2 linked regions of the Mus musculus genome follow. The protein of the gene in region 1 interacts with the protein of each later gene in a pairwise test. Links are inferred from orthologs where the notes say so. Each region holds a gene or a part of one and is shown on either strand. Other genes may lie near its edges.

Region 1 (10,422 bases):
GCTCAGCCAGTGTGGACCTTGGCTCAGGAAAGACCTTGGCTCGGTCACCCTAGGGCTAATTAACAATGCAGAATCCCTCTTCTCACACAGACTGGCTGAATGAGAATCTGCATTTTAACAAGGTCTCCAGGTGGTCGGTGTGCCTGCTTTGGGAAGCACTATGCTAGAGTCTGACACGGTACAAGGAGAAGAAAACTGTGTCACAAATATTACCCACTCCAGGGGAAAAACCTATTCAATGCAAAGCCTATAAAAACCCACAGACAGTCCCCGGGGCACCAAACAGTTGGTTATCTCTGGTCTAAAGCGTGGCGGGCTGCTGATGGGGGAGCTGGGAGGTCAATGGAGAGGCCTGTGTGCATCAGCTCCTCTCTCTGCCACTTGGGGTCCTCAGATATCGAACTGTAGAAAGTGGGGAGATGCAACAGAAGAGCTTGGAACCTGAATTGATGAGGCAAGCCCTCGCACTGCTATGGGAACCCACCATTCCCACCAAAGCCTATCATCGAGTAACTTGAAGTCGAGGGACGTGCTTCCATAGCGATATGTCAACGACTGATAGCCATCTATCAATGGCTTCCATCTCCCCATCACTCTGCTTACCGATGACGATATGGCCTTGCTGAAAACCTAAACTAGGTAAGCCCAAGATAGAATGAGCAAACCAGACTTGACAGCAGAATGGGTTAGTGGCCCACAACTCACCCTTTATCCATAGGCTCACTTAGCAGACATATGGGGGACTGATATCCCATTTCTTTTAAGAACTGCTCTTTGCCTACAGTGCAGTTACACCCAGCAGCTATGTAGGTCTACATGCCACCATCTTGCCCCCAGTCACAGCTGAGTGACATCAAGGTGGTCATCTGCTGTCTGACCTATGCTGGTGGTCTTCTGAAACTTCTGACTCAGAAAAAGGAATGTGAAAGATGAGACAGACCTGGGCGTGGTGGCGCACACCTTTAATCCCAGCTCTTGGGAGGCAGAGGCAGGTGAATTTCTGAGTTCAAGGCCAGCCTGGTCTACAGAGTGAGTTCCAGGACAGCCAGGGCTATACAGAGAAACCCTGAAACCCTGTCTCAAGCCCCCCCCCCCCAAAAAAAAGAAAAAAAGATGAGACATTGTTTCTCTGTTGCTGGGTCCCCAGAGCTGTTCATAGTCTTCCACCAACTTCCATAAAGCATCCCTTTATCTGAGCCATTTATAACCCACCCCCAGAGGCCTCAGAGAGAGCATAGCCCTGGTTTCAGACTTCCAGTCATTCCTTGGAAACTGAAACTGTACATTGCAATAGTAAATACCCCAACTAAAGCCTATTTCCTGTGTCTCTGGGAAAGAGTCAGATCTTGCATCTAGGGGCTTTAGAAGTAGGAAGATAAAAGAGGAGTGTTTCCCACTTAGTAGGGCTACTCCTGCTCTACTAAGGTGGGCTTTATAATACAATTGGTTTCATCATCCCCCATGTATATATGTGTAGTATGGGGGAATCACACATGTTTGCATGCATGTGTGTGCACACGTGTATAGAGGCAGAGGTTGATGCTCAGTGGGTGTCTTCCTCAATCACACTCTTCTTTATTTACTGAGACAAGGTCTCTTGCTGAACCTAGAGCTAGCCCATTTAGCTACTCCTCCAGCAAGCCATCTTGCTCTGGGGAAGGCCCTTGTCTTCCTCCAGAGCACTGCGATTACCAGCACACTCTGGGGATCTGAACTCAGAGTCTCACACTTGAACATGAAATCCTTCGTCGGCTAAGCCATTTCCCCAGCCCACAAGGGCTACCTGGGACAGAAAAGGGCACAACCGAGATAGGTAATCAGAAGCCACACGTTGAAATACATGCAACATTTCACAGCTATTATCTTAAGAACAGAAACACTTAGATGTTAATTGACAACACTTTTTGACAACACTTTTTTTTAAAATTCTTATCATATGTGGCTTATTTAGACTGAGGATAATACTGAACAATAATATTTAAAGTTAGTTATTTTAATAGAGATTCTTGAGTAATGTGAAGATAGATAATAAGCAAAGGAAAAGTACCTTCCTTTGACACCCTTTCTTTTGATATATGAATAAGGCCAGGTCCACGGAGATCTGACCACCCACCACAGTCCAGATGATGTCTGAGACAGCAGACTGGAGTCTACAGCCCAGGCAGACAGCAGACTGGAGTCTGTGCCCATGGCAGAGGAGAGCCCTAGGCTAGTGGTGCTTAGAGAGGGGACCTCTGCCTGATTTTAGAAAAACAGCATGACACAGCTGTGATTATGGAGTTGTGCTAAAAAGTGTCATAGTCCTGACTTCTCACAGCTCCACTTCCCTCAACAATGTAAGAAAATAACCCGAATTGTATTCTTACCCCAACAGTGGTTAAAGAATTTGTAAACTTCTTCGATAAGGAGGTTACTTCATTGCACATTGCTGTGGTTAATCTGAAATAAGGAAAAAAAAAAAAAGAGGTTTGTGGGATTTTCTATAAAGTAACGTAAACCTTGTGATGATTAGCATGACATGAATGGCAGTATGACGTCAAAAGCAGAGATTGAAGTCGCTCTACAAAATTGTGCAGTCATCCTCGACAATCATCCATGGTTCACAGTTTTCTTTCCATGTTTAATTAAGGAACAATACTCTAATTAATTTGCCCTCCTTTTAGAATCAAAGCCACGTGCAGGGAAATAGCAGGCCTGAGCATCTTTTTCACAGGAGTGCAAACTCGGGCCAGGTGACTTTCCTCCGGTGTCTGGGTCATTTTAAAATAATGAACGTTCAGTGAGGCACTCGTTCACATGTCATCTCATGACTAAACTGAATCTGCCAAGTCACCTGCATGGGGCATACAGTGGCGAGTGTAGAAAGGGGATTAAAATGCAAATGCAGGCATTCATTCAACATGCATGCATGCACACACACATGCATGCACCCTTCTTGGTGCTGGAGAACAACCCAGGGTCTCGGGTGTGACTCGGCAAGCATCTAACTCCTTCCTTTCCCTTTCAGCAGTGTGTCACTATGTGTCTCAGTCTGGCGTGCCTTGACTTCCAAAGATCCTCCTGCCTCAGCCTACAGAGATCTGGGACAGTGGCCGTGCTCTACCACATCCAGATTCTCCCTGCATCCTGCTTGTGTGACTCCTATTTGCCTCAAAACAACGATCCCTGGAAATTCTCTTTACATCTCCAAACGTGGACTTTCCTTTGGCCATTCCCTTTTAAGTCTTTACTCCAAGAAAATGAAGCAAGAGAGACAAAATTAATCAGAAGGTTTATACTAACACCACAGATGACAAAGACAGAAAACAATATGATTGCCAAATATATTGTGTGTCCTGTCTGATTTTCCCCTAACAATTACAGTGTGTGGTTGATAGTGAATAAAATACTATTAGAAAAACAAAAGAATATTTCATGTTAGGAGAGCTACTGAAGGCAAAGAAAATGGTTTGTTTTGTCTTGTTTTTTTTTTTTTTTTTGATAGAGATTCTGTCTAATCTATATATGCAGGGTTTTCTTTGTGTATGTGTAGCGTTTTCTTTTGTGTATGTGTAGGTGCTTGTATGTGCATACGCCACATGCTGGGGGAAGGAGGTATGGATCCTTCTCTGAGATTACAGCTGCCTGCGGCCCTGTCTGGCTTTTTGTGTGTGGGGATTGGAGTCAGGTGCTCAGGTGAACACAGCGGTACTTTAGCAGATCAGTCATCTCTCTGCCCTCCGCTCCTGTGTGATGCCGGGGAACAGACCTAGGGCCTCCATGTGCTAGCAGGCTTGCCACTGAACTACACCCCTAGGCCTAAGTACTAGGTATGATGAACCATATGGAGGTGTCCATCCATCCATCTGAAATTTGTCTGAAGAAGTCATTGTGGGTGAGGCCAGAAGACATCAGAGACCATACTGTGTGCTCTTGGGAAGGTGGTGGGAGGGCACTCACTGAACCGACTGACCAGCTCGGGGTCAGCACAGCTGGATGAGGTTGGCACAAACAAGGGAATCGGAAAGGTGCTAAGAGCAAGGTCCTAGGACCCACGTCATGGGATTTCTGAGCCTTAGCCCTCCCCTTTCAGGTCTTTACAAAGGCAAGGCAGTAGCTAGACACTGCCCTCAGCGTTTCAAAACCTTTCTTTTTCTTTCCATATGTTAGAAAATACGCTATCTCTCTAGAATTATCACATACTGTGAAGTTTATTTCTAAATACATAATTTTCCTTGTCAGATGTAGTAAAATTAGTGAGATGGTGAAGTGCATATGAATAATATGGTAGGTGTGTGTGTATGTGTATGTGTGTGTTCTTTCTTGGGTGATAATTTGGCTCCCTTGTTTTAATAATAACAAAGGGGTATTTGAACATCTGCTGATAATCCACATGTCATAATATATAATTATACACATAAAAGTTAATGATTTATTTTTAGCAATATTTTCTATTTTCAAAAAGATTTCACACCAACTGTTTTCATATATATATATATATGTATATATATATACATATATACACATAGCTTATGTATATTCATGTTTGCATAATACTAGATAAATTAACAACAACAACAACAACTGGTTATTGAAGAACATAAACTTCAGTGTATGGCACAGGAATGCAGCCTGCAGTGAACTGTCTTGCATTAGTGGCTAGCATGCCCAGAGAACAGACCAGGCAGGTCAGGTAACGTTGCTGAAAAGGGTGGTGTGTGTCTGCCTACTTTTGTATGGGGAACTGAAAAGTTATATTAGACTGTCCTTTCTCTGTTGGTATGGTATGAATATGTAGTTACCCTCAATGTTCTGTGCCTTGAAGAAATCAATCTATTAAAACAAACATGTTTATACCTCTGAATGCATTAGTGTGTCTCCTCTTAAATCTCTCAAAAACTCCTATGTATTATTACTATTATTATTATTGCTGTATAATGTATTTTCTAAGGGAGTCCTTATCTTCTATGTATTATTATTATTGCTATATAATGTATTTCCTAACAGAATCCTTATTTCTTAAAATGACCATAACAGTTGACATGAAAATCTAAATTTTCAGGTGTTTAGGGTACATGTGTATGTGCATTTGAATGGCACACATTCACATGTCCACACATGCACACGCACACGCACACGCACACACACACACACACACGTATACATGCACACACACACATCCACGTCCACACATGTATACATGCACACACGTCCACACATGTATACATGTACATAACACACACACATGCATACATGCACACACACACGTATACATGCACACATACACACATGCATACATGCACACACACATCTACACATGCATACATGCACACACACACATACATGCACACACACATGTATACATGCACACACACACACATGCATACATGCACACACACATACAATCTAAAGGGGAAGAATTGAAAGTTGCATTAACTTTATCAGAACTCTTGCTTGGTCTTGAGCTGGTTTCTCCTCCTCTTGTCCATGGAGAATCAACTCTGCAACCTTATGTAGCTGTTCAATGCAGCGTGCAGTGACTTCAGCCAGACTTTCAATGGACAGCATGTACACTTCCTGAAATGGACGCACACAAGAGAATTACTCACTAAGCAGCCTCTTTTCAAAAACCCCCATCGCGTTAAAAAACGGGACATGATTCGAAGCACATACTGTATTGCTGAACTACACCCTGGCCCCTAGATGATGTAATCCTGTATCCCTATAAAATTCCAAGGGTGTGGGGGCGTGGCTTAGTCAGTAAAGTGCTTTTGCACAAGCATGAGAACCTGAGTTTGTGTCCTTAGCACCTTCCTAAGTGCTGCACAGCTTTAGCCTCAGGACTGGAGGATGGAGATGGGCTGATGGCTGGGGGTCACTGGCCATAGCCAATATTATGTTAGCTCCAGGTTCAGTGGCAACCTCTGGTCTCCACACAAAGACAAACCATGCATTACATACAAAATGTGTGTGTGTGTGTGTGTGTGTGTGTGTGTGTGTGCACTCAATGGCAACGCTGCCAGGTCCCCAGGGATAAGACAAGCCTATTCACATTTGTGTCTTCAAGAGTCAGGCTGTTGCTGGCCACACACTAGGCAGGTTATGGTAAGTGGGGTGCGTGGAAGAGAAGATGCATGGCACACTCCAGTGGACATTTTTCTTTGGAGAACCATACCTTTGTCACTTTAAAATTGGAACTCAGCATAAGGAACAATTATCACAGATGACTTTTGGAGCACAGGCAGGACATAAAGTATAGGCATATGAGTGTACTAAACTGCAGGAAAGAAGCCACAGCATTGAAAGAGAGCTCCAATTGCCTCATTAGCAAGGGAGCATAAAGACAATTTATAGTAGCAGATTTGCATAAAGATAAATCAATTATGTTCTGGAAGATCTTTCTGCTTTTAAATTATAAAATTATGGAGAAAAGCTACAAAATCTACGCTAAGCCATAAATTGTCTTGGGATAGAAATCTGGATTGTCTATTGCAGTCTTACTAGGATGTAGGGCATGGTGTAAATAGAAAGCGGTCCTCCTCGCTTTAAACGAGGCTCCTTATAGAATTATCACAGATAACTGTGGCTGATGCAGGCAGGTTTACCTCTACAGTCTTAGCTCCTTGGCCCCCTGTTTTGTCTTCTTCAGGTTCTTCGGCTTTCTCTTCCTTTCCTTCTTCCTTCTCTTCCTCCTCCGACCCTTTGGCCACATCTATCGACACCACGCTTTGATCTTCTTCCACCCAGTCATGAGCTTTCTTCATGGCCTGCCATGGTCCCAACCAACCAAACAACACATTTAGTGTGGGAATGTGAAAACCAAGTGCTCTCAACCTGGACCCTCCAGGGCAGACGAGGAGACAAGGGCAGAATGGAAAGTATATAGAACACATCGAACTTCTAAAAGGGTATTTTAAAATGACATTCAGATGAGGAAAAGGACAGAAGCTGCAAAATCTACAATGTATTTTTCGTGGTTCATGGCTGGTGATAAAAAGATGAACTGTACTCTTTATCGAATAGGCTAGAAATCAGTAGAAGTCATGGCTGAAGCCAGGTTCCTCCTGTGGTGGTTTTCCTAAAGCCCTCGTCATCTCAGGAAACAATAACGTATAGATGGGAAGAAGATCAATGGCTTTGCTCCTTCAGATTCATGGCAGGCCCTCTGTCCAACCTCTAGGATGAGCAGAGGGCTGGCACTCCAGGAGAGCCACATAAGCAACTCGTGACTTACAAAATCGTAGCTAATTGGAAACTGCCGAGACCACCTTCCTTACCCGGCCTATTGATTCCTGAATTCCGAGACAGGACAGACTTATCTAGAGCCCATCGGATCGTTTACAACGTTTGCTTAAGTAGAAGATGTCACTCATCTTATGCTAAAACACTGAGTTACCTTAAAGCCTATGTCAATGTTTAACATGTCAGAATGTTGGGAGGTATTTTAAGAGATAGCAGATTAGGGGAGAGCCACCCTAAAAAGAACTCTTTTAGGAATAAAGGCTGACCCATGCAACTGAGAAGTCCACCCCTCTCCACTCCAAGCTGTGGCAGGTGCTGTAGGGAGATGAACGAGGTAATTTCCCAGCTGACCTGTCGGCTCACTGACCCCTAACAGAGAGAAAGAAATTCCTCATCTCACCGCTTCTGTACCTCATTCTGTCCTTCCTTCACCCATTATAACAGGTGAGTGGCTATGCAAACCACTGCTAGGTCAGGTAAGAGTCAGGAGGAAAGCGAGAGGGAGATAGAAAAGAAATCACATAGCCTTGGGTAATTAGTGACCAGCACCTCCTTAAGGAATCCTACAGTTAGACCTGGTTCTAACTTGCAAAATGCACTGTGAAGTTAGAGGAATCTGTAATGGCAAAGCTGGACTTTCCTAAGATGTGTTGGAGCGGCAGCGGCAGCCCAGGTGGGCGGAAAGGTCTGAGCTTCCCTCTTCGCTCTAAAACCTGCATGTCTCTTTAAAAAGCAAGGGTGGGAGAAGAGTCTGGAAAGTCCCGTGATGCCCCCCCCCCCCCCCGAAGATAATCATCCTCTGACAGAACAGTCTATTCCCCTGTGAAAGGGCAACTGACTTTCTCAAGGTCACTAGATAATTACTCGTAAATTACAGAATGGGAGGTCTCAGAAGCCTTGCATCCATTAGGGTGCCTCCGAAGGTACCAATTACTGACCTCAGACGCCTCTCCCCCTGTTATGTCGTGGGGGGGGGTGTTGGCGGGGTTTTCCCCCCATTTCTTGCGAATCTGAGGAATCTTACCACCAAGACCCTCTTTCTCCAGTCCCCCTTTAAAACCAAAGACACAGAAAGGGTTGGTTCCGACCTTATTGAGTTTGTCAGGTGTGGCGGCGACGTGTAATTCAAACAGGAGCTCTGTAAGCATCCTGGCAAATTCTTCCCCGCTTTCTTCTAGGCCTAGAAACAGAACACAACAGCAGTAAGAGGCGCGATGCATTTATTTTTCATCCTTCAGAACGTGGCAGCTCCCCTGACTTTGCAGGAGCACTCAGGGTAGACTAAGGGGGGCTTTGGCAGTGCGCCCTGAGGCTGCCTGGGAAGATGGATGTCACGTCTTCCATCGGTGAGCACAGCGGGGAGGCAGCAGGCTGCCTGGAGAGCTCTGCTGAAGCCTAGCTGCAGGCCTCTGGCACTAGGGCACCCTGGGCTGGCTCAGGGACAAAGGCAGGTAGGGAGAGAGACCTTGTGTGTCTTGGGGCCACAGCTGTAGCAGCCCATTGCTGACAGAATGAGTATGTATGACCTGTGTCAGGCCTCTGGTACCCGCTATTCGGAAACTGGTTAGGCTTCCTATAGCAACTTTGACAATGCCCAGGGTGTGGTGCTGAGGAAGGGACTGGCAGGGCTGGGTGAGTGGAAGTCTCATGTGTGCTCTAATGTAATACCATCTCTCTGGAGAAATTTCCCAAGGTTCTCTAGAAGACCTGTGTGGTACTATAATACTTTTTAAGATCTATTTTCTCAGATGGGAAGCTATCTAAGGACAGAGAAGAGTTTAACTCATTCTTAACATGATCCCTGGAACATAATAGGTGCTAAAGAAAATATTATTTGAATTGATAATCTATTAAGATATCATATGATATAGAATACAATAATCATATAATATTTGTTATATAGTATATTTATACATCATAAAATAAAAATAAATATCCCTGGATGGGCAGTGGTGATTACAGGGCTTTAATTATAGCCTTCAGGAGGCAGAGACAGATGGATTTCTGTGAGTTCAAGTCCAACTTGATCTACATAGTGAATTCCAGGACAGCCAGGACTACACAAAAAAATCCTGTCTCAAAAAACCAAAAACCAAAACAATCAAACCAAACCAAACCAAACCAAACCAAACCAAACCAAACCAAACCAAACGAAACCAATGAACCAAAAATATCCATGGTAGGAAACAGAGATTGTTAAAAGCTGCACTCTCTGCTCACTTCTCTCATTTGCAACTTCAAGACAAGACCATCTTAAAGTTTCTGGTAGGTGCTAAAGTACTGATTCCACAATGGGTTTATGAGCCCCACTGAGGGAGAATAAAGCATCATTCATCTGGCCCAATTGCATGTGTGCAAAACCCTCAGTGAAGAGGTTACCCGGGCTTATGCCAGAGCCCAGGTAATACCTCTGGGGAAGGCTAAGCCACGTGGAAAATACTGTACCTAACACTTGCATGGTCATGAGCATGGCATTCACATGAATAGATTAGTGTCTGTGTAAAGAATCCCCAGAGAGCTGGCTGGCCTCCACTCCCACGGGAGGACACAGCTACAAGAAGCTGACTGTGACCCAGAGATGGACCTTTGCCAGACACCAGATCTGCCAGCTCTCTGATCTCAGACTTCCTTACGGAACTGTGAGAAGTAAGTTCCTGTAAGGTACGCTGCGATGTTTGCTACGGCAACCTAAACAGGCCAAGATTAGGAGGGAGCTATGAGGAATGGATGTGCCTTGAAAAGCTGGAGCCTCCTGAAGCATCCGAGTTCTCATTCAGCGTCAATTCCCACCAAACACATTTAAAATCTTCGTGTGCTCGTGTCAATGTGCTACATAATAATTCACTTACACCACTTTTCCTTTTTTTTTTTTTTTTTTTACAAACAGTTCTATATCGTATTTGCTTCATATAGTAACCGAGAAGGGAAAGACGACGTGGGGGCGGGGGTGTAGTCCCCACCTGAGGATAGCTTCTGGATCAGGGGAGAAGTGTTCTAGACGCTTGGCAGTGGCAATAAAGTCTAGCAGGGAATGTGCCTGTCAAGTTCTGGGGGGCAGTAAGGAGGCCAGGGTGGCTGCACAGAATGAGCAAGATGGGTGCCCTGGGTGTAGATGGGGGCAACTGCCTTAGCTCAGGATGGAGCGGTAGTGGGACTCATTCCAGCCAGGAAGGTGAGTGCTGTGATATAGTTTGCAGCTGT
Region 2 (8,401 bases), on another chromosome or scaffold:
GAGAAAGAAAGAAAGAAAGAAAGAAAGAAAGAAAGAAAGAAAGAAAGAGAGAAAGAAAGAGAGAAAGAAAGAAAGAAAGAAAGAAAGAAAGAAAGAAAGAGAGAGAGAGAGAGAGAGAGAGAGAAAGAAAGAAAGAAAGAAAGAAAGAAAGAAAGAAGAGAGAGAGAGAGAAAGAGAGAAAGAAAGAGAGAAAGAAAGAAAGAAAGAAAGAAAGAAGAGAGAGAGAGAGAGAGAGAGAGAGAGAGAAAGAAAGAAAGAAAGAAAGAAAGAGGAAAAGAAAAAGGAAAGAAAAGAAAAAAAAACACCAAAAAACCAAACCAAACCAAACCAAAACAAAAAACAAAAAGCAAAAGCAACTAGCAATCACTCACTGTCAATCATCTCTCAACCATAACAATGTTCCCACAGGATAAACCGACACAACAGCAATGGATAACTACTTTTGGTGCAAACAACCGTGCAAATGAATTCACAGCACTTTGGGAGGTAGTATATAATCCTCAAAAGATGGACCAAGGCTCAAGTTCTCAAAAAAAAAATGGTAAAATTTCATACACTGCAGCTTTGACTTTCGCTTGCTCAAATAAGTTTTATGCTTTCTAATAGGAAAATCTGTCAACCAAAAGTTTTCCTGAATATCTTACAGCAGTGGCTCTCAACGTTCCTAATGCTGCATGGACCCTTTATTATGGTTCCTCATATTATGGTGACCCCCAACCATAAAATTATTTTCGCTGCTATTTCACAAATATAAGTTTGCTACTGTTATGAATCACAAAGTATCTGTTTTCCTATGGTCTTAGGTGACCCTTGTGGAAGGTCTTAGAACATCCAACAACCATTACTTCTACTTCACGCCATCTTTAAAAACCAAACCAAACCAAACCAAACCAAACCCTGTTATTATAGTCATTTGACAACTGGAATCCAAAGGTGACATAGTCAGTCTGTGATCACTGGGAAACAGGTGCACTCTACCCCCTTCTATGTTCTCTGGCAGCTATTTCTTTCCCTCTGTCGTTCTTTAGCCAAGCAAACAGATGCCACATCAGTAGGATGAACCACTTTTATCAGAAAAGACATTTCAAATAAAAGAGCCCCCTATAGAATTCAAGAAATAACAACTGTCCGAAGTTATTCCCTGCTGGATAAACAACTTTCTTTATCTCGATTTCTTTACTGAAAAAATTTTTTTTCTTTCTTGCTGTCTCCCAAGATTGTTAGTTATTTCACCCCCAACCAAAGAACAATTCCTTTCGTTCTTCCTATTCAGAACAGAAACTCCTCAAACAAGCCGTCTCTTCAACATCCTGGTTTCCTCATGACAGCCGCTTTCGGTTCTCCCCCACCCCCACCCCCTCCACAGTCCTTAGAGGAGCTCGAAGCCTCGGCCACTGTCCCCTCCAGCTCCCGCCAGCCCCCGCGCTCACCCCCACCGTCCTTCCCTAACCGCTGCCTAGGCCCTCCGGCGCCCCAGCATCAGCAGCTTTTGCTCACCTCGGCTCCTGACAGGAAAGGGTGCGAGGGCCCAGTGATCGTCAGGTAATTGTCATTTCCTCCGGGAAACTGTAAACCAAAAGAAAGCCGCGGTGGGTGAGTGAGCGGAGCAGTGGCGTGCTGAGACCCCAGCCCTCCCGAGCCCCCCTGGCTCCTCGCTGCCCTGCATTCCCGCTTCCGCTTCCCCTAGTCGGCCGCGAACCCTCATCAGCCCTCAAAGACTCGGCACCCACCTCCATCTTCACAGCACCACTACCAGCGACTCAGCGTCTCCGCGTCCGCATCGCTCCCACCGCCCCCACTAGGTTCCGAGCGCGTCACTTCCTCAAGGAGAAAGCGTCGCTCTCCGATGATTGGACCGAGTCAGGGACGCAACCAGTCTCGATCCCAGCTGCCCGAAGGGTCGCTGTCGCCCCCTGGAGCTTGGTGGGATAATGGCATGTAGAAGAGCACTGGGTGGCCCTAGAGGCGGCGTCCGGTACAGCCGATCCAGCGAAGATTTCTGGGGGAGAGCAATAGAGACGCAGCTTGAGCTAGAAGGGCTGGAGCGGAGGCAAATAAGGAGACCCGTAGATTGAGTGGCTAGAGAGGTCGGAGGTAAGTGGCTGTAGAAATCGGGAGGACCCGGAACACAGACGCCTCGGGACCATGACTTACGCTTATCTCTTCAAGTACATCATCATCGGAGACACAGGTAACCCGCCGACGGACCGCCTTCGGAGTTGGGGCGGGGATCCTACCTCCAAAATCGGCTTGGGGGCGGGGCGGGGTGAGCGGAGTTGCGCGGAGGGGGCGGGGCGAGCCCCGGGGGCGGGGCTCTGCCCCTGCCTTAGACCCTGTTCCCTGTCTGGGAGCCAGCGGCTTCCCGGGTGACGTGCGTCTAGTGAACACCGTTCTTTCGCAGGTGTGGGGAAGTCATGTCTCCTCCTTCAGTTTACCGACAAGCGGTTCCAGCCCGTGCACGACCTCACAATAGGTAAGCTATCCCCTCGTTCCAGAACAGCTAAAAGCTAGCTGCCAGAACTGCTAAAGGAGAAAGTTACAGTCTCAGTATTCTAAATAAAAAGTTACTTCTCGGCCGGGCGTGGTAGCTCGCGCCTTTAATCCCAGCACTCGGGAGGCAGGTGGATTTCAGAGTTCGAGGCCAGCCTGGTCTACAAAGTGAGTTCCAGGACATCCAGGGCTACACAGAGAAACCCTGTCTTGAAAAACCAAAAAAAGTTACTTCTCGCTACCTTGGTCTGAAATCATGGTATATGAAAAATGATAAAAGCTGGTAAGTGGAGGATAAATGATTGAAAGGTAACTTTAGAGATGGATGTAAGATACTAGTTGCCGTAGGATTTTTTTTTCTTCCAATGCAACTTGTATGTTTATGGAAAAATCCCACGGAAACATGACTGCTTATTAAACATCTCATCTGTATTTTGTTATTAACTACCAGCTTCACATGTTTTTCAACATAAACACCAACATAGGATTCTTTTAAGTCTGGAGAGGTAAAAGCCAATGTACGGACATTGCAGTTCTTCCTGCACAGACACCTCCTCTAATCTCTTCACCTTCTCTTCTTTTAGGAGCAAATAGCCTCAGATTCATTATATAACCCACACTGGACACAAACTCCCAGAGATCCTCCTGCATTAGACTCTCCCCCCCCCACCCCCTCGGGACAGGGTTTCTCTCTGTGTGGCCCTGGCTGTCCTGGAACTCACTCTGTAGGACAGGCTGGCTTCAAAAATCAGAAATCCGCCTGCCTCTGCCTCCCAAGTGCTGGGATTAAAGGCGTGCGCCACCACTCCCAGCCTCACGGACTTTCGTAATAAGTTTGTTTTTGCGCCGAGACTGGCTTTAAGCTTCCTGGGTAACCTGACCATGATTTTGACTTGATCGTCCTAAATGCTGGGATTAGATATGCACCACTATACTCAGCCTGTTTTTTAGTTTCTTACTCATTGAAATTACATTCTTATTGTTCTGAGAGAAAAAAAAAGTTGACAGTGATTTTTTTTTTCCAAAAAAATATCTTTTTGATTTTTGTTGAGGTAATAGGTATTCAGAACAGGTATTTCATATAGCACCTTAAAGTAAAAATATTTATATAGAGTATGAATTCCTCATGCTATGTACAAAATACTATTTTGAAAATAGAAAAGGGGATGAATTGTCTGCTTATGATGCAGTGGGGTTTTTGTTTTTTTGAAATATTGTCCTTGAAAGAGATGAATTTTGCCTAGAAATAGAAAAGTGTCAAAAGCTCTATCAGTTCGTCAGTTTCCATACTGCTTTAAGAGAGGCTATTACCAATGTACTCTGGAAATTATTGGTGATTGAAGGTATTTTGTCCTTGAAGACCTGTTCCTTAGGCAGCTTCTTTAATTGCCAATGAAAACAGTTTTAGAATTGCAGTTTAAGAAGTGCTGCTTCATACACAGAACTAGTCAGTACTCTGAGACACTGTCGCGAAATGCTATCAATGGGCTGGAGAGCTGACTCAGCAGTTAAGAGCACCGACTGCTCTCCCAAGAACAAGGGTTCAATTCCCAGCACCCATCATCCTCTGTCACTCAAGTTCCAGGGGATCCTTTGGGTTCTTCTGGCCTCCACAGGTACCAGCCACATACGTCACACATACTTAACATGCAGGCAAAACACTTAACTTTCAAATAGTTCAGAAGTTCTTTGAGCCTGACAGTGGTGGCGCACGCCTTTAATCCCAGCACTCGGGAGGCAGAGGCAGGTGGATTTCTGAGTTCAAGGCCAGCCAGGTCTACAGAGTGAGTTCCAGGACAGCCAGGGCTAAACAGAGAAACCCTGTCTTGAAAAACCAAAACCAACCAACCAAACCAGCAAACAAAGAAGTTCTTTGAAAACAATTGTAGAATTAAATATTACCTAGTCAGATTTCAGTGTAAGCTAACATTCCTAAGCATTTATTCATCTCTTTTAGTTTTATTTGTCCCAGAATTGTTATGTTCATTTTCTAGAAATTTTTTTCTATGAATTGTAGCTTTGTAGTTTATTTTATGAAAAACTTTCCTGTAGTGGCTTTTTTTTTTTTTTTTGAGACAAGAGTTTTTCTGTATAGCCCTGGCTGTCCTAGAACTTGCTTTGTAGCGGGTACACATTCTTCAGATGTTATTTGCAAATCATTACAGTAACTGCAGTGCCACTTTTCTTAAGGCTAATTCTTAAGAAGATCTAGATAGAGTCTCTGTCATTATAAGGCCTTAAAACAAATCAACTGGTTATATAATAAATCAAACTTAGTTTATTACTAGAATTTATAAAACCAGATCTAGGGAAAGAACTAACTCTGGTAACACATACGTGGGTTTTTCCCCCTCAGATCTTAAAAAAAATTTTTTTGTATATATGTGTGTTTGTATTTGCACATGTGTGTACAGGTGCCTATAAGGGCTAGAGATCATTGACCCCTCTGCAGCAGGAGTTACAGGTAGTTGTGAGCCACTGGACAAGGGTGTTGGGAACCAAACTCTGTTCTGCTCCAAGACCAAGTGCTCTCAACCACTGACCATATCTCCAGCCCCCAGCCCCCTATGGTCTTAATATAGCAAGTGTCATCCAGACTGTAAAATCAAAACAGTGAGACTACTTGTATTTATTTTATCTGAATGAGCTTTGTTCCCTTTTCTACATCTGAGTTATTCTTAAGTCATTATCACTTAGAATCCACTTGTTTCTTTTTGGTGAAAGGGATTAAACCTAGTGAGTTATGTTCTAAGTAGTTACACTATCGCTGAGTTATACCTGTAGCTGTAGGGTAATCTCAGGCCAACCCTGAACTTGCTCTGTAAGTCATGATGACCTTGAACTTCTTATCCTAGGGCTCCTACTGCCTTTACCTCATGAGGCCTGGGATTAGATCACTGCCATGCTCAGTTAAGGGGTTCTGGGGCATGCATGTGGATGTGCACGTGCATGAGTGTGCAGATGCCCATAGGGCCCAGAACAGGGTATTGGAGTCCTTGAAGTTGGGGTTACAGGCAGTTATGAACTATCAGATGAGGGTGTTGATACCCAATTCCAGTCCAAGAAGCACATACATGCTTTGCTTTAGTGCTGAGCCATCTCTCTAGTCCTGTGTCCAGTTTTATGTGGATCTGGGGATTGACTCCAGAGCTTCTAGGCAAGTCCTGTATCAAGTGAGCTACATGTCCAGTCAGTGGGTTTTTAATTCTAGAAAAGAAACTAAAAGGAACACAAATTCAATTGGAGCAATAACCACTGTCGGGCTGAATGTCAGTGAGTGATGACAAAGGACTCATCATTATAACACTGGGGAAAAGTATGTGGCTCTAGATGGACATGTATGTGTTCATTACAGTCATGTTCGTTCTCTTGTCTTTCACTGACAGGTGTGGAGTTTGGAGCACGTATGGTCAACATCGATGGAAAACAAATCAAACTGCAAATCTGGGATACGGTAAGAGAGGGCAAAACAATTTAGTACCAGACTGAGGCCCAGTTATAACAGTAAAAGCTAATGCAGCCTTGTGGAATGCTAGACACCTGTAGTTTTAAAACTATAGGATGAGCCGGGCGTGGTGGTGCATGCCTTTAATCCCAGCACTCGGGAGGCAGAGGCAGGCAGATTTCTGAGTTGGAGGCCAGCCTGGTCTGTGAGTTCCAGGACAGCCAGGACTACACAGAGAAACCCTGTTTCAAAAACACCAAAAAAGAAGAAAAAAACAAAAACTGTAGGATGAGGCAAGGAGCCCAAGAAAGGTGAAGCCAAGAGGGAATACATACTGAGATATTCAGGTCAAAAACAAAGCATCATACCTTTTTTATTTGAAATGATTTGACTCTCAGGTGGAGGATGTTTAAGACCAGCCTGGTCTACAAAGTGAGTTCCAGGACAGCCCATGCTATACAGAGAAACCCAGTCTTGAAAAAACATAGCAAACTAAAAAAGACTCAACTAATACAGTAAAAAATAAAAACTTATAAAAGTTTATGTAGCCAAAGGTGACCGTCCTCTTACATAAGGCCCTTTTCTGTGTCACACTGTTGCTGTTCTGCCAGAAGACCCCACTGTTAATGATTCAGGGTGTATTCTTTCAGACTTCTGTGCACTGAAATCCCTAAAGAATAGAATGTGTCAGCCAGGAGTGGTGGCGCACGCCTTTAATCCCAGAGCTGGGGAGGCAGAGGCAGGCAGATATCTGTGTGTTATTTTTTTTTTGTAGACCAGACTAGCCTACAAAGTGAGTTCCAGGCCAGCCAGGCTACAGAGTAAGAAAGACCCGTCTAAATTAAATAAAATGAATAAATAAATAGGTAGATATAGATGGATAGATAGGTAGGTAGGTAGATAGGTAGGTAGATGGGTAGATATGTAGACAGACAGATGCAAGTTAATGGTAGAGGTTTTTGTTGTTGTTGTTGTTAATTTAAATAATGTATGTATTGCCTGTGTGCTTGACAGTAAGTGCATGTGACCTGGTGCAAGTGGAAGTCAGTTTTGTGCAGTGGTTCTCTTTCCATCTTTTAAAGAAAGGTTCCCGAGGACCAAGCTCAGGTTGTCAGGTTTGCATGACAAGTTCTTTGCTTACCGAGACATCTTGCCAGCCCAAGATTTTTGTCTTCATTAATATTAATATGTATAGAATTGTGACAAGAGTCGACATAGCTGTGTTGTTTATATAGTAGTTTTGATATTTTGGAGACGTTTTCTATCAGTATAATACAGATCTGACTCACTCGTTTTAACAACCGCATAGTCACGGAATGTTCGTACCATGTATTTATTTTAGCCGGCCTCCATTGCATTGATGGACATTAGTTTTGTTTTTAGTTTTCAACCATTGTACAGCTTCTTTAAACATTCTAATTTATTACAATTTTTTGCAAATGTTTGAGAATTTCTGTGGACTATTTGCCCAGAGATGAGAACTGAAGGTAAAAGTTGCCTGTGTTATAAATTTGTTTTGTTTTGTTTTGTTTTCCCGAGACAGGGTTTCTCTGTATAGCCCTGGCTGTCCTGGAACTCACTTTGTAGATCAGGCTGACCTCGAACTCAGAGATCCACCTGCCTCTGCCTCCCGAGTGCTGGGATTAAAGGCGTGCGCCACCACGCCCGGCTCCTGTGTTGTAAATTTTAATCAATGAAGTTTGGTGGTGAAGCTTTGCCTAATCTCAATATATTGCTTTTGTGTGTGATATTTCATGGCCATGTTGGTGGCTTTTTCTTTTTGTGCTTAAGTGCTGACATGAGCAATGGTGGGATCACGAAGAAAGTTTAGAGACGCGGCTGTATGAGCCTGTGGATAGGATCCTTAAGAACTGTAAGGCAAGCCTGGTAAGGGAATGCATGCCATCCCAGCGCTCAGGTGGGTCCCTGCAAGTTCAGGGTCAGCCTGGTCTACATAGATTTCTAAGCCAGTCAAAACAGTGAGAGGTTTCTCAAAAAAACAAAAACAAAATACCTCTGTACCCCCCGCCCCCCCCAAAAAAAAACTAAGCAAAAAACCCATCACCTACAAAAGACCAACAACAAAACCAGTATCTGACTTATAGCTGATATTTCAAACTGTATATCTTACTCTCACTTGGGAGAAATTACAAAGCTTCATTGAAGTTCCATGTTCAACTTGGTGTGGTGGCTTTCCTACTCCCATGTCTTAGTGATTGTCTGTTGTATGAGAAGACATTAGGACTAAGACAACTCTTATGAAAGAAACTTAATTAGGGGCTTCCTTACAGTTTGGGGGGTTATTCAGTGATCATATCATGGCAGGAAGCAGACCAACATGACACTGGAGCTGGAGCTGAGAGCTTTACATCTTGATCTGCAGGCCAAAACATCAAAGCCCTAGTGACACATTTCCTCCATCAAGGCCATACCCCTAGACCTTCCCAAACCGTCCTACTAACTGGG

What was found.
Region 2: the proteins of Fam114a1 (region 1) and Rab2b interact in binary tests that used the Homo sapiens proteins (3 or more experiments, as listed by UniProt). The two-hybrid records come from large-scale screens. The link is inferred for Mus musculus from reciprocal best matches to the Homo sapiens genes FAM114A1 and RAB2B.

Annotation. Positions count from the first base shown.
Region 1 is NC_000071.6:65,026,389-65,036,810, reverse strand, and holds part of Fam114a1 (protein Noxp20), read right to left. Parts: intron 8,402-10,422; coding exon 8,310-8,401; intron 6,747-8,309; coding exon 6,585-6,746; intron 5,557-6,584; coding exon 5,417-5,556; intron 2,440-5,416; coding exon 2,367-2,439; intron 1-2,366. UniProt on the Homo sapiens protein: May play a role in neuronal cell development.
Region 2 is NC_000080.6:52,272,986-52,281,386, reverse strand, and holds the start of Rab2b (ras-related protein Rab-2B), read left to right. Parts: upstream 1-1,991; 5' UTR 1,992-2,145; coding exon 2,146-2,191; exon of another isoform or gene 2,192-2,241; intron 2,242-2,401; coding exon 2,402-2,473; intron 2,474-4,766; exon of another isoform or gene 4,767-4,856; intron 4,857-5,876; coding exon 5,877-5,944; intron 5,945-8,401. Other genes in the region: Tox4 (TOX high mobility group box family member 4), read right to left, coding at 1,498-1,566, 1,731-1,736. UniProt on the Homo sapiens protein: The small GTPases Rab are key regulators of intracellular membrane trafficking, from the formation of transport vesicles to their fusion with membranes. Rabs cycle between active GTP-bound and inactive GDP-bound states.